3 linked regions of the Saccharomyces cerevisiae S288C genome follow. The protein of the gene in region 1 interacts with the protein of each later gene in a biochemical or structural test. Each region holds a gene or a part of one and is shown on either strand. Other genes may lie near its edges.

The links. The genes of interacting proteins can lie anywhere in the genome.
Region 2: the proteins of CRM1 (region 1) and CTL1 form a complex in vitro, tested with the Saccharomyces cerevisiae proteins (one study listed by BioGRID).
Region 3: the proteins of CRM1 (region 1) and LCD1 form a complex in vitro, tested with the Saccharomyces cerevisiae proteins (one study listed by BioGRID).

Annotation. Positions count from the first base shown.
Region 1 is NC_001139.9:930,604-936,319, reverse strand, and holds CRM1 (exportin CRM1), read right to left. Parts: upstream 3,780-5,716; coding exon 525-3,779; downstream 1-524. Other genes in the region: mitochondrial 54S ribosomal protein uL3m MRPL9, read left to right, coding at 1-246; calcium channel protein CCH1, read right to left, coding at 5,505-5,716. UniProt on the Saccharomyces cerevisiae protein: Receptor for the leucine-rich nuclear export signal (NES).
Region 2 is NC_001145.3:621,704-624,824, forward strand, and holds CTL1 (polynucleotide 5'-phosphatase), read right to left. Parts: upstream 1,511-3,121; coding exon 548-1,510; downstream 1-547. Other genes in the region: SPT21 (Spt21p), read left to right, coding at 1-431; YMR181C (uncharacterized protein), read right to left, coding at 1,913-2,377; RGM1 (Rgm1p), read right to left, coding at 2,829-3,121. UniProt on the Saccharomyces cerevisiae protein: Probably involved in an RNA processing event other than mRNA capping. Releases gamma-phosphate from the 5'-end of RNA to produce a diphosphate terminus.
Region 3 is NC_001136.10:1,446,005-1,450,620, reverse strand, and holds LCD1 (Lcd1p), read right to left. Parts: upstream 2,792-4,616; coding exon 548-2,791; downstream 1-547. Other genes in the region: 60S ribosomal protein eL37 RPL37B, read left to right, coding at 164-423; SEC20 (Sec20p), read left to right, coding at 3,627-4,616. UniProt on the Saccharomyces cerevisiae protein: Forms a complex with the serine/threonine kinase MEC1 which activates checkpoint signaling upon genotoxic stresses.

The DNA.
Region 1 (5,716 bases):
TTGAGAGCATCTCATGGTACATCTATTATGCATAGACACGGTGGTTCTTATGGTCAAAACCAAGACCCAGGTAGGGTACTGCCAGGAAGAAAGATGCCTGGTCATATGGGAAACGAGCATGTTACTATCCAAAATGTTAAAGTTTTGAAAGTCGACGATGAAAATAATGTTATTTGGGTTAAAGGCTCTGTGGCTGGGCCCAAAAACAGTTTCGTTAAAATTCAAGATGCAATCAAAAAAACTTGAGCATAAGGCGTATAAGTATTTTACTACAATCATGTACATACATCAATAATAACAATAAAATGGGTAATCACTTAAGAATCTTCAAATAATATTCTTTACTTTTCCATGAAGTTGGCTAAATAGTATTTAGTACTATATTAGAGTATTGGAACTTTGAAGAACCAATTTACATACAATATGAAGTGAAAAAGAAATGAAAACCCCGTGGTTATAAATTAGAGACTAGTTAATAAAAGGGAAAAAATATTGGAAATTTAAAGAATGATACGCCACCGCCTCTAATCATCAAGTTCGGAAGGTTTTAATAACCCACCAATCTTGGCAGCTTTTTCCCTCTCTAGTCTATTCTGTTCCATTAATGCATTCTCTTTATCTTCAGCAAACAAATAATCTGTTGGATCACCTCCGACTTCTTTGATTTGCACCAAAAAGTCCCTCAAAGTGCCTTTGAAGACCACTAAGTCTTTGTATTGTTTAGTTAATGCAGAGAGAAAACTTGCGATTTGTTCGGATGTTAAATGGGGGAATGCATTACTTAACATATTAGCCAAATATTGGCTTAAGTAGACTTGATTTGAAGTTCCTTGTGGTACCTCAGCTTCTTGATATAATGGTACCGAAATCTTGTTATCATAAACCAAAGAAATCAACTTCATTAGTAACAAAGCTTGCTTAGAAAAACCGGATTTGTGGTCGGAATCGGTTAAAACAAAAAACGTTTCACTGACAAAAATGAAAAAATAATTCTTGTGGAACTCATTTGCAAATGGGACATTTCCCATTCTTTCAATGTTTTTCACTAGGTCTAATGCAATCTGTAGACCATTAACTTCGACATCTCTATTGTTATGTTTGAACGCCCAACAAATAGCGTCAACAAACAATTTAAAGGCAGCCGGAGGTAGTTCCAAAAATGCAGCAAATGATTTCTCATTGATGACCTTCAATAACTTGTAAAATTCTACACGATGCTCTGGATATTCTGTGAAGTCTTTGTTAATCATGTCCAAAGTGCATTCAAATACACTCTGTAAAATTAAAATAACACCTTGTGGGATCATATGACCAACCTTTTCTACTACTGTTGTCATACAATTTAGCACTTCGGCGTCCCTTGCATCAGGAACGTTGTTCATATAGTCTTCAAGTACAGCGTTCAATAATGGCTCAACTAACACTTTAACGACATCATCCAAATTTCTCGCCTTGGATATATAGGTCTCAACAAGCTTCAGAATCTCTTTTTTGATGGTTCTCAAACCACGAACCTTTGGTGTCTTCGTAGCAATTAGACCTTCTGCGGCAACTTGAGCAGAAATCATCGAAGAAACAGCTCTGTATAGCTGAAGCATATTGTAATAGATGTGACCCAACTGTGGATAGAAATCTGCTCCCATTGAGGTGCAGACAGCTACATTGGTTTTTATAATATTCGCAATAATTTTGACAGTTTCAGAATCTAACAACAATGTTGGGTTAGCAGTGGATTGTTCCACTATAGTGTCCCAAGCCATATTTGGCAGTTGCATCAAATCACTTAATAATCTATTTCTCTCCGCTACGCTTCTTTCTTCAGAAATAATAATACCACAAGCCTTGTAAAATGTATGGACCTGTTGCGGCTGTAGGTCAGCAGTTGTCTTTTGAATATCCCTAATTATTGTTTGGATGAAAGGCTCAGACTCACGGGGTTGTTGAATAACAAAATGATATTTACATTTTTGAACAATCTTAATGAATGTGTCACATGCCATATCCTGAACACCCTCATGAGTTTCATGCATAAATTCAAAAAGTTTCAAAATAACTGTTCTTAGAAAATTCCAGTGAGCCTTCAAAAATCTAGGATATTGGCCCACGACGTACATAATATCCGATGCAACAACAGCTTTATTATCTTTACCCCTTTTCTTGACCGTTAAATCTAGTAAATCTTTAATAACAGTAACTACAAACCTTTTTTCAGTATCTTCGCTCATTGTACCAGATATGGAACCAATAGCCCAAGATAAAGTGTTGATATTATGCCATGACCATTCGGAACCATCGATTTGCCTTGCCAATTTACTGATCATGATTTCTTCTGTATCGATAACATTCAAATGGGTCAAATATACAAGAACCTCTCTTTCTGATTTGTATAATTGGATAGTGTCTGATTCTTTAACGAACTCTCTAACAATTTCTCCTTCATCATTTTCAACCACAAGGACTTCTTCTGGTCTAACCATATTTTCAATAATGACCAATCTCAACTGTGAACAAATTTCTTCGTAAATATGTTTTTTTAATGGAAATCTTTTCATATATTCCGGATTTAGGGCGCCAGATCCAGTTGAGATAGCTTGTGAACCGACTGATAACTGTATCAATGGGCTCATTTCGGTAGCAGGCAAACGCTGAACCTCATAAAACAAATCTGCTACTAAATTATGCCAGTAATCCAATGTCGTCTTAAATAGTTCTCTTTCTTCGATTTTGGATAATTGAATTAAGTATTGGTGCGCATTCAACAACAACTCTCTTAACGATTCATCACTCTCTAGAAGGGCCCTATTACGAGCGAGATATGTAGTTAGAAACATTGCTAAATCTTGTAAGAAAGATTGATCATTACCGTTAGCATTTGCATAAGTGGCTTTCAGATCGGCAGTCACGGGCATCACACTTGTGGCAATTTGTTGTAGAGTATTTTGGAAAAAAAGTACAGTTTGTCTTTTTATCAAATCATTATCTTGTGGAATTTTTAGATTTGAAACCTCAGTCAAACATTTCAATGTGATGGCTCTTGTATCAGGCGATGTCATGAATTTGGTGCTTAATAATTCCAAAATATTGGTTTCATAAATATAACGATAAGGAATCCAATGTAAATATCTCAGTAAAGATTCTAAGGTTGCCACTATTAGAGAGCTTGAAGAACCTTGTTCCAAAACTTGAAAACATAATTTAAAAATCTGTTCAAATTCTTTTGACATGGAATTTTTCAAATGTAAAGCTTTAGCTTGTGTCATTTGTTCCGCAGAGAAATCGAAGACTTCTTCGGATAGCAGTTTCAAAACGATCATGTTATTTTCACAAACATTAACAGAGGAACTTGAACTGCCGATTAGTTCTGGGATAAATTCAGGCCAATTCTGAGGCCATTCCTGCTTTAAAATTTGGACCAAAGTCAAGTCCGACTTATTGATCAGGTTCTTTTGTGTTTTAAATACTTCATCGTCTTGGCACATGGAGATAATCATACCAACAACGAAGTTCCTAATTCCAATTCTATGATCATTCGGCAACAATTTCCATTTTCTAGTAATTAATTTATCAAGGATGGAAAGGGCAATAAATTTTGATTGAGGGTTAGTTGAGAATTGAAGAATTTGGTCAGCTTTTTGCCAAGCGTCTGGATTATCTTGAAATTTAGTCAAAATCTCTTGGGCTTGCTTTTGCTGAACACCTGAACCTTGATAGAATGTAGATACCACCTGATCTAATAGAGCGATATCTAAGTCGTTAGAAAAATCCAAAATTCCTTCCATATTATGTTTTTATCCTATTTTTGAAGTCAGTGAGCGGTTTCAATAATGTAGAGTAAAATGTTAACTTCTTCTTAATTATACTATTAGTTAAGTTTCTTGCCTTTCACAGGTCAACGTCTATTATTGTAGGTGTAAGTAATTGAAAGAGCGAGAATGATAGAAAAGAACAAAAGAAAACTTAACAATGATTGACTTTACTTAAAATAATCAGGCCAGAGAAATGAATAGTGTTGAGGTTCTCAAGATCTATGTCAAAGTTGTGACCGAATATCCTGCAGTTGATAATCTTTTTTGCCTTTGCTATTAGCGATAATTCATAATAATGCTAACGTAGGAAGAATAAGGAAAGCCAGGGAAATCTGCGAAATTCTTTTTTTTTCTTATAAAGAAAGATCATTCCAAATAGTATATATCTCCGGGTAATGATGTAATATTGCCCTTCATAATATATTATTTGTATTGAAACGATATAAGAGGAGAGGATTGACAGTAACTGGGAGGTATATAATGTGTACACAACATGAGAAATGGGTAAATGATGAGATAATTGTTGGGATTCCATTGTTGATAAAGGCTATAATATTAGGTATACAGAATATACTAGAAGTTCTCCTCGAGGATATAGGAATCCTCAAAATGGAATCTATATTTCTACATACTAATATTACGATTATTCCTCATTCCGTTTTATATGTTTCATTATCCTATTATATTATCAATCCTTGCACTTCAGCTTCCTCTAACATCGATGACAGCTTCTCATAACTTATGTCATCATCTTAACACCGTATATGATAATATATTGATAATATAACTATTAGTTGATAGACGATAGTGGATTTTTATTCCAACACAACAATTGAGTACTATCATATTCGTATGTTTCCGTTGTATCGCCATTCTAAATAAATGGAAAAGCTGTTAATATAATTGGCGTTACTTTTCGGATGAGCCGTATCGGCTGTGCATTTAACACCCGTTAAAGCTTCAAATACAAAATTGTTGGAACGAGAGTAATTAATAGTGACATGAGTTGCTATGGTAACAATATAATGCTTACATCGTATATTAATGTACACCTCGTATACGTTTAAGTGTGATTGCACCTATTGCAGAAGGAATGTTAAACGAGAAGCTGAGACAATACTGAAGCTGTGCTTAAAATCTATTAGTTGAACATGATATGGTAGGTACATATATGAGGAATATGAGTCGTCACATCAATGTATAGTAACTACCGGAATCACTATTATATTGGTCATGATTAATATGACCAATCGGCGTGTGTTTTATATACCTCTCTTATTTAGTATAAGAAGATCAATACTTATTTCTTCATTAATACTATTTTTTACCTCTAATTATCAACAAAAATAATATCCGGAATAATCAAAAAAGATTTAGAGTGCATAAATTAATTCCCTTCTAATGGGTACTCTTGCAATGTATAGTATTCTTTGCCCAGAGGAAGATAAAACTTATTCAGATCTCTTCAACCATTAAGATATAATCAGTAAGCGCAAGTGGTTTAGTGGTAAAATCCAACGTTGCCATCGTTGGGCCCCCGGTTCGATTCCGGGCTTGCGCATTTTTTTCTTTTCTTTTTTCCCTGAATAGTAAAGTTTGACATGCTCTAGAAAATCACCTCTCAATAAAACAAATTTAAATTATTCTTATTGTTCATTTTTACATCTATAAAGCCTCTTAAATATGCCCTTATATAATTTATCTATCAATTAGATCATTTGCGCTATCGTCATTATTATCTATTGGTTCTTCCGGGGGCTCCATCGTAGAGTCTTGATTCATTCTCGGAGACCACATAAAATTGTTAACACCGTAGTCCATTCTAGGTGTCGCAATAGGTTCTCTTTCTAAAATTCCTGGAGCAGGTTCCAGATTTACGTTTATATTCGAAATGTGAGACGATACTGTGG
Region 2 (3,121 bases), on another chromosome or scaffold:
ATATAAAAGATAGAAAGGCATCTGTAATAGATTCGGACAATACAAAACCTCAGGCAGGGCTTATAAATTTCTCTACTCCAGCTGACCAGCCAGCTTCTGATAATAATGTTACAGCTTCGAAAAAGCTTACTAGCATGCTGGAAACTCAGCAAAGTAAGAGATCTCATGAAGAAGTTTTGGATGAAGAGGAAGAGGAGGAAGCCCTCAAAAAGCAAAAGGCAATACCGTCTTCACCATGTGGGATGTTCAATTATCATCAACCCATGGAATTATCTGAGGACATAGTTGAAGAAGAGCAAGGACACAATATCGGCGATGATAATGAAAGCGATAAGACCAACGATTTATTCTCAACATTCATCCATTCAGGAATAAGAGTAAGTCAGGTAGTAACAAGTCCCATCGGTGAATTTCAGTCAATAAAACACTGAAAATATTACATGAACTTATTCCTAGCACAGCATGTATATATATATATATATATATATACTCAGATCATACATGTAGCACCTTATAGAGAACAAAAAGAAGTATTTAATTAGCATTTTCATGTCGTTAACATGTTATCGCGTTCTGCAGCCTTACGTATAAGGTCGCTGGCATTCAAAAACGAGCACATATACTCATTAAACTTCTCCCTATCATTAGCGGAAATTGTCTCCTTGAATATAGGATCCATTTCTACCTCCACTTCATGGGACGTGTATTGATGGGAGTTCCTTCGCGTGGTAGTAACCTTTGTCAAATCCAAGTGTAAAGGCATTTTATCATTAAAGGTGTAGGTGGAACGGCTTTTGGTTCTTTGTAAAATAAAGCCATTCCTGAAAGCGGCAGAAGTTTCGTATTCAGGCACTTCAAGGCTGATGCTAATTTTAGCGTCTAATGAACTTTGAGGATAGCGAATGAGAAAATCCTTGACCCGGACCTTTTTGATGTAAGTAAGTTTAAGTTCTTTGTTTCTAAGGTCTTCCGAACAACGCCATGAAGTTAATTTGCCAACTTTCGAGGCATTGTTGCAGTTATATATAGAATCTTTCGTATACTTTTGTACCTGTTTTACTACTCTTGGGGCACATTTACTTGGATTCTCCGATTTTGAGCGGAGTAGCTCCTGGAAACTCGAGAACATTTGCTCAGGAACGTTAGACACTAAGCGGCCATTTCTGTTTTGAACAATAAAGGGCTTGTTGTGTGGTGTCATCCTGCGATGTGTCCTTTTGTCTGTTATAACACCAAATTTCATTTCGATTTCAATGTGTGATATCGACGATTTATCAATACAAGCAAGATATTTCCATGCTAACTTACAAACATGTTTATGGAATTCTGTCGCACCTCTTGAATTGTTTCTTGTGGTTTTGTATAAAGCTCTAGTTGATGTTAATGGCTTAGTGGTTTCAGAGATATGCAAGCTTCTGAATTTCGAGGCAACATTAGCGTCAGCTTTCTTTGCGCCAACATTTTCATGAGAATTTCTACTATTGGAAGGAGTCTCGGGTTGGTCAGACATATCTTAAACTTCCTATAGTGTTTTCATTTTTCCTTTTCAGTGCTTTTTTTTTCTTTCCCATTTTGCTGGTAGTCAACAAAGTTGTCTTAAGGAAAAAAAAATAAAGAAAATATTGAAAACTAATAAGTTTTTTTCCTGTAAAAGTGTATAAAATATATAGGAGATCCCGTCAAATAATAGAAAAAAAATTTTTTGCCACATATACCTGTAGCCCCAGGAATACTGAAAAAATGGAGTAAAATGAAATGAACAATTCGTCGTGAAGAATACAAAGAAATATTAAAGAAATTTCGACGTAATACATAGTTCAACCGATTAATAAGAAATACCCAGAATAATAAGAGAAAGAAAATGAAAAAAGGAAAAGAAGCCCCATGTCTGTAGTGAACGTGTTCTCGTTAGTTATTCAGAAGAAGCTGGACTGAAACTCTTCGAAGTGTAGGGATTGAACTTAACTATCTTTTCCTCTTTAGGAGTGGAGGAATACGTTTGGGAGATTTGTAACTGGGTCAATAGTGCTTGTTCCATGTAATACTTGTCAATTTCCTGGTATACCACTTGTTCTTCTGGGGTGAGCAAACTTCTTGGACAATAAAAGATGTCGTCTTCGAAAGTTTTACTGATGTTGTTTTTGTACATTATGGTGTTCATGCCGTCTTGTTGGGTAGTGAATTCATCACTAGAACTCACCCTACTGTTGTTGGCAGTGTTATAGCTGAAAATGCCCGAGTTATTTTTACTATTGGGTACCGAGGGAGAAGAATAGAATGACTGAGGGCTGGTGAGGTTGAATTCATGTTGTTGGATGCTTTCCGTAAGGTAGAGGCTTGTGTTCATTTTTGCTTCCGCCTGCAAAAGTGGAGTCATTTTTTTTTTGTTCTGAAATCAGGAGAATTAGAGTAGGGGGAAGGTGAGTAAATATAAGGGGTCGAGGAACAAAATCCTTATAAACAATCCGTAGAGTAAAACGCTGCTTGTTATCTTACAGCAATGTAATAACAAGCAAGAAAGATAAAGCAATACGAACCAGTTGCTACTTGGTGGCACAGACGTGCGAATTAATTAAGGTTGTGTGGACAGGAAAATAGCGTTTCCCTCGAAGGGTATTGTTCTTGTTCTTTTTATATTTTCGGCATTTTTATGCTCGGCATTTCCCAACAGAAGCGGATATATTTTAAGGGCGCGGAGATGAGCCAAACGGCAAGCGATATCAAAATATCTGCATAATAACGGCAATCAACGCGCACGCGAATGGCCAAGAGGGTACAATAGCAGCAATGATGCGGCTTGTGAAATGGAGGAGTGGGTGCGGTAGAGCTTATTTTTTTGCGTTTGGTGAAGCGTCCTTGGCCTGGTCAAAACTTTGCACCTTAGACGGCGATGCTGGAGTGTCACTGCTATCTGGAGGGAGCTCTACAATGTTGTGGTTTTGTATGGGAGTGTGGTTCAGGAAGAGTGGTTGCATATAGCTGTATATTGGTAGTGGAGGAGGCTGATGCGGCAATGGTATGGGAGCAGATGGCATAGGATGAGGGAAGTATGGTGGTGCGTAAAGAGATATAGTGTCTTGTGGGCTAGCAGGAGTTGATATGGGCAGATTGTATGGAACAG
Region 3 (4,616 bases), on another chromosome or scaffold:
ATAAAAAGATTTGAGTGTCAATACAAAAAGGTGAGAAGAAATAGTGTAAGACAGCAACACACATCTAGACCGCCAATGAAGTTGTTCTGAATCCAGCAGTAGAGTTTATTTAGTTCAAAGTTTTACTAACGATAATTAACTTTTATGTTTTCATTTTAAACAGAGGGTACTCCTTCATTCGGTAAGCGTCACAACAAATCTCACACCTTGTGTAACAGATGTGGTCGTCGTTCTTTCCATGTTCAAAAGAAGACCTGTTCCTCTTGTGGTTACCCATCCGCTAAGACTAGATCTCACAACTGGGCTGCCAAGGCAAAGAGAAGACACACTACTGGTACCGGTAGAATGAGATATTTGAAGCATGTCTCCAGAAGATTTAAGAACGGTTTCCAAACCGGTTCTGCTAAGGCTACTTCTGCTTAAATTTGATATTATCTATAAGTTTTGTTCTTTCCTAAAACGAAAATAATATAAATTATATATAGTTAATATTAAGCATTACAAGGTTTCTATAAAGCGTTGACATTTTCCCCTTTTGATTGTTGCCTTACAGTCCCATTGAGATATATAATGAATCGGCCTCCTCTAGTGTGGTTAGATCGAATGATTTTGACTCAAGAATAGTTCTTGCCATTTCTTGAAATTTCTCATCGTACTTTACTTGCATTATTCTCCCCGTTCTTTTATTCAATTGCATCTTCAATTCTTCTTCGATATATTCTGGTAAATCCTCAAAGGCATCTTCGTAATAAGAGGCTTGATCCTTTATCGTCAGATCATGCAAACTATCTACAAGGTGTCGATGATCTCTCATTTCTCTTTCGTTTGCTGTCACAGTTTCGGTTTGGCATACGAGAAACCTCCATAGTGACATAATCAATTGGCTTTCTACCTGCTTGATTTGTTCTTCACGCAATTGTTTGAAATGGTCTTTCCATAGCCTATATATTATGGTTAAAGTATGTTCAATAAGATGGCATCTGAGGTCCAAGTTCGGGGAGTCTTGTCCCACGTACCTTTCTATCATTAACGCTTGCTCCCTGGATAAGAATTTAGAGGAGTGGATGAGCATTTCTCCATTTACTATGGTCGCATCGTCTCCATAGATCATTAATAAATTTTCAAAAATATTTAAAACTTCATCTTTTAACTTCAAAAGCCATTTTTCCATCTTGTAACCTATTATAGGGGCAGTGAATTTGTCGCTATCCATCCCAATATCCTCTTTAGAAATTACCCTTGGGACACTTTGCAATCGGTCAGTATAAATCAGCTTTGATATCAATCCTCCCAATTCATTATCACCTATATTTCGGATTAACCCAAAAAAGTCATGGTACTTCGACATATGAAGAGTTGTAGTATCCACATTTTCATTATATACGTCGCCACTCTTAATTTCCTTTTCCAAAAGAGCGTATAATCTTGTAATACAATCTCTCCACCAACTACCGCTTATCAAGGATTTCAGATCTGAGGAATTGTCCATATTTAATATTATACTAGTGATAATATTAACGACCTCGACTGCACTAAATATTACATTTACCATTGGCTTGTATGAAATGGTTAGTGCTAGTTTGTAGACAAATTCAAATGATTTTAGAATATTTTCATCAAAAAATTCCATATAAGTTTGCTTAGGATGCGACTGCAGTACCCTTAATATACCTTCTAGGAGATCAAAGGAATACGAAATTATCAAATAGTCTATCAGTTCATATTGGAAAATCTGAGGTTCTACATGCAAATTCATATTTGATTCATGTATCGGTACTTTCAATACATGATGATAGATTCTTATTAAATCGCAAATAAAAAGAAAACAATCCTTCAGTGCTAAATTATGAGTGGCACTAGGACGAAATTGTACAATCTGATACATCAATGCAACGAGAAATGGGACAGCTAATTTCGATTCATTTGGATGAACTGATATTTCCTTGATCAAAACAGCTATATCCTCTAGCAAAGTATCTATGAACCTGTCGAGGGTCAACGTCTTTTTACATCGCAAAAGTAGAGAAACTATGGACTTCCCTATGGGGGCTCCTTTAGCAATGACGAAATTCTTAAATTTAAACTCTGTGATGTAGTCAAGCTTCAATCTATTTAATATTTCTATTGTGCTCAGGTCAGCGCCTATTATTTGATGAAGTAATATTGACTCTAGAAATAAACTCGTTTCATCGGGAATAATCCTATTTGGGTTTAGGGGAACCATATTTTTTTTCAGTAAATTATCACTTATCTTACGTTTTTTTGATTGTGGTGATTGAGGTTTTGCTTCGATTGCAACTGAGGACGAATCTGGCGTTATAGTGTTTGTGTTTGTTGATAATGTTGTTGACGGTGGTTTTACATTCGTAATAACTTCCCTTTTCGATTTTCCTCTCGCTTCCATCTGTAAGAACTTCTTCTCATCTTCCAGTTTCTGTAATTCTTGTTTTAATTTAGCCAACTCTTGAAGATGCTTGACTTGCAATTCATTAACTTTGACGGCTTGAATATTCTTTTCCTTTTCCCTTTCAATGTTCAAAAAGTTTATTTTATCACGAAGCATGCTTGCTTCACCTTGAGCTTTATTCAGTTGGTTAACCAGTTGGTTATCATTTTTACTCTGTTTATTGTTTAATGTGGTCGTTGTAACCTCCAAAGTAGTGGGAATTTGTGTTTGTAATGCTGCTGATGATGGCGGTATTTGAGTAAACCTTGGAGGCCTGGTGCCTAATTCCAAAAGAATATCATCATCGTCATCTGAAGAAAATTCACCCACCGTTTCTCGTCTCATCTATAATAGAAATATGCAAAAGAGTTTGATGATTGTGTTGACGTTTCGTGCACTATCGCGTATTTGTTTGCTTTTTATTTTATTGCATGTGCTGTTTTCCCCAAAAAATCGATGGAACGCTCGGATTTGGCTAGAGGCGGGAAAAATCACCAATAATCGAAGAAAATAGAAGAACCAAGATACTAATAGCTCTTTGTAAGATAAATTTTGGAGTTACTACAGGTTACTATCCTTATTCAGAGACTTTTTACTGCTTTGCTCCTAATATTTAGTAGGAAAGAGCGAGCCTGTCTGACTCTTTTTTTTTTAAAAAAATTCAAGGTAAAACCTAACTAAACATAAAATTTCCACTCGAGTTATTCCGCTTAAAAGTGCTTAACATCGGTGCCACACAATACGAACCTTAGTAGAGAACCGACCGTTACCTCTTTATTAGCCCTAGTTTGTACCACTTAAGCTCTAATTCCAATCTAATGTGTGTGTATTTTTTTCTATTGTTAGCGCCGCACCAAAGAGGATCATGGTAAATACAATTACATAAAGAAAAGAAAAGCAACAAAACAGCTTCGTTTGCACCTTTAGCAAACGTTGGAATTTTCCTAATCTCAAAACAAGTGGTAAATCTAATCCCACACTAAAGAAAGCACGTCTTTACCAGTGACTTTATCAATAAATCACCTGCACACGCTGTCCGGGTAAATAGAATTGTTACTAAATAATGAAAAATACATTCGCAGTTGTAAAAATGCCAACAGAAATACCTGATATACAGTTAACAAGTAAGATCGGATCACGCTGCCAAGGCGCATAACAAACTATAAAGCCATTAAAGATTATGGTCGTGACATTTTTGCAGGACCTGGAAGTTTTGCAAGATGCATTATTAAATAATTTGCAAAAATTAAGTGCAATCTCCCGCAGAAAAGAAAGCGGAGAAAGCAAGCATGATAATAAGGACAGTTTTGCAGCCATTGCCAACGAACACAATGATGAAGAAGAAGAGATTGAATTTGAGGATTTGGTGAATATTATAGAGAGCAAAGTTTCAGATTTCGAATCGGTACTGAAATGTAGTATTGTGGAAATGACCTACAAATACCCCGAATTAAAATTACAGTGGGAAAAAAGCCCTAGATACGATCAATGCGATAAGTTGCATATTGTGAAGCTTGATAAACAAATGAACGAGGACATATATGCTCAGTTGGTCGAAGAACTGGATTTCGTGTTGCAATTCGTCGATTGGTTCTATTGCTACCGCCTGAAAGTCAAAGAGATTCTACGACAACACCACAAACGTGACTTAGCTTGGAACGACGAGAAAAGAGACCGCGCTATAAAATTTCACGCTGTGGATTACGACAAGCTTCACCAAGGAACGTCGTCATCGTCAAGCTTAACGTCCACATCGATGGAAAAAGCCAGCACTAGAGAGAAGCTTTTGAGCAAAACAAAACAACTGACGAATAACTTGGTGAGAGGAAATCAAATTTTGCAGTCCGGAATTTTACAAAGTGACCTGAATTTGGATGAATTGAGAGCCCAAACCAATTCCTTAACACAAATCGATGACAAGTACACTCAATTCGAAACCGTCTTCAAGAAAACTGCCGATTTGGTCAAAGTACTGGAAAATGCCTCCCATCAAGAGAAACGAGATGTCTATTTATCACTTGGGTTCCTCCTATGCTGCGTCTCGTGGGTTCTATGGCGTCGTATTTTCAAGTTACCTGTTAAACTCGGCCTCTGGCTGCTATTCAAGTTTTTCAAGGGTATACTCGTCACCCTAGGTCTAGTTAAAAGCTATGCAGGCTCCTCGTCCTCT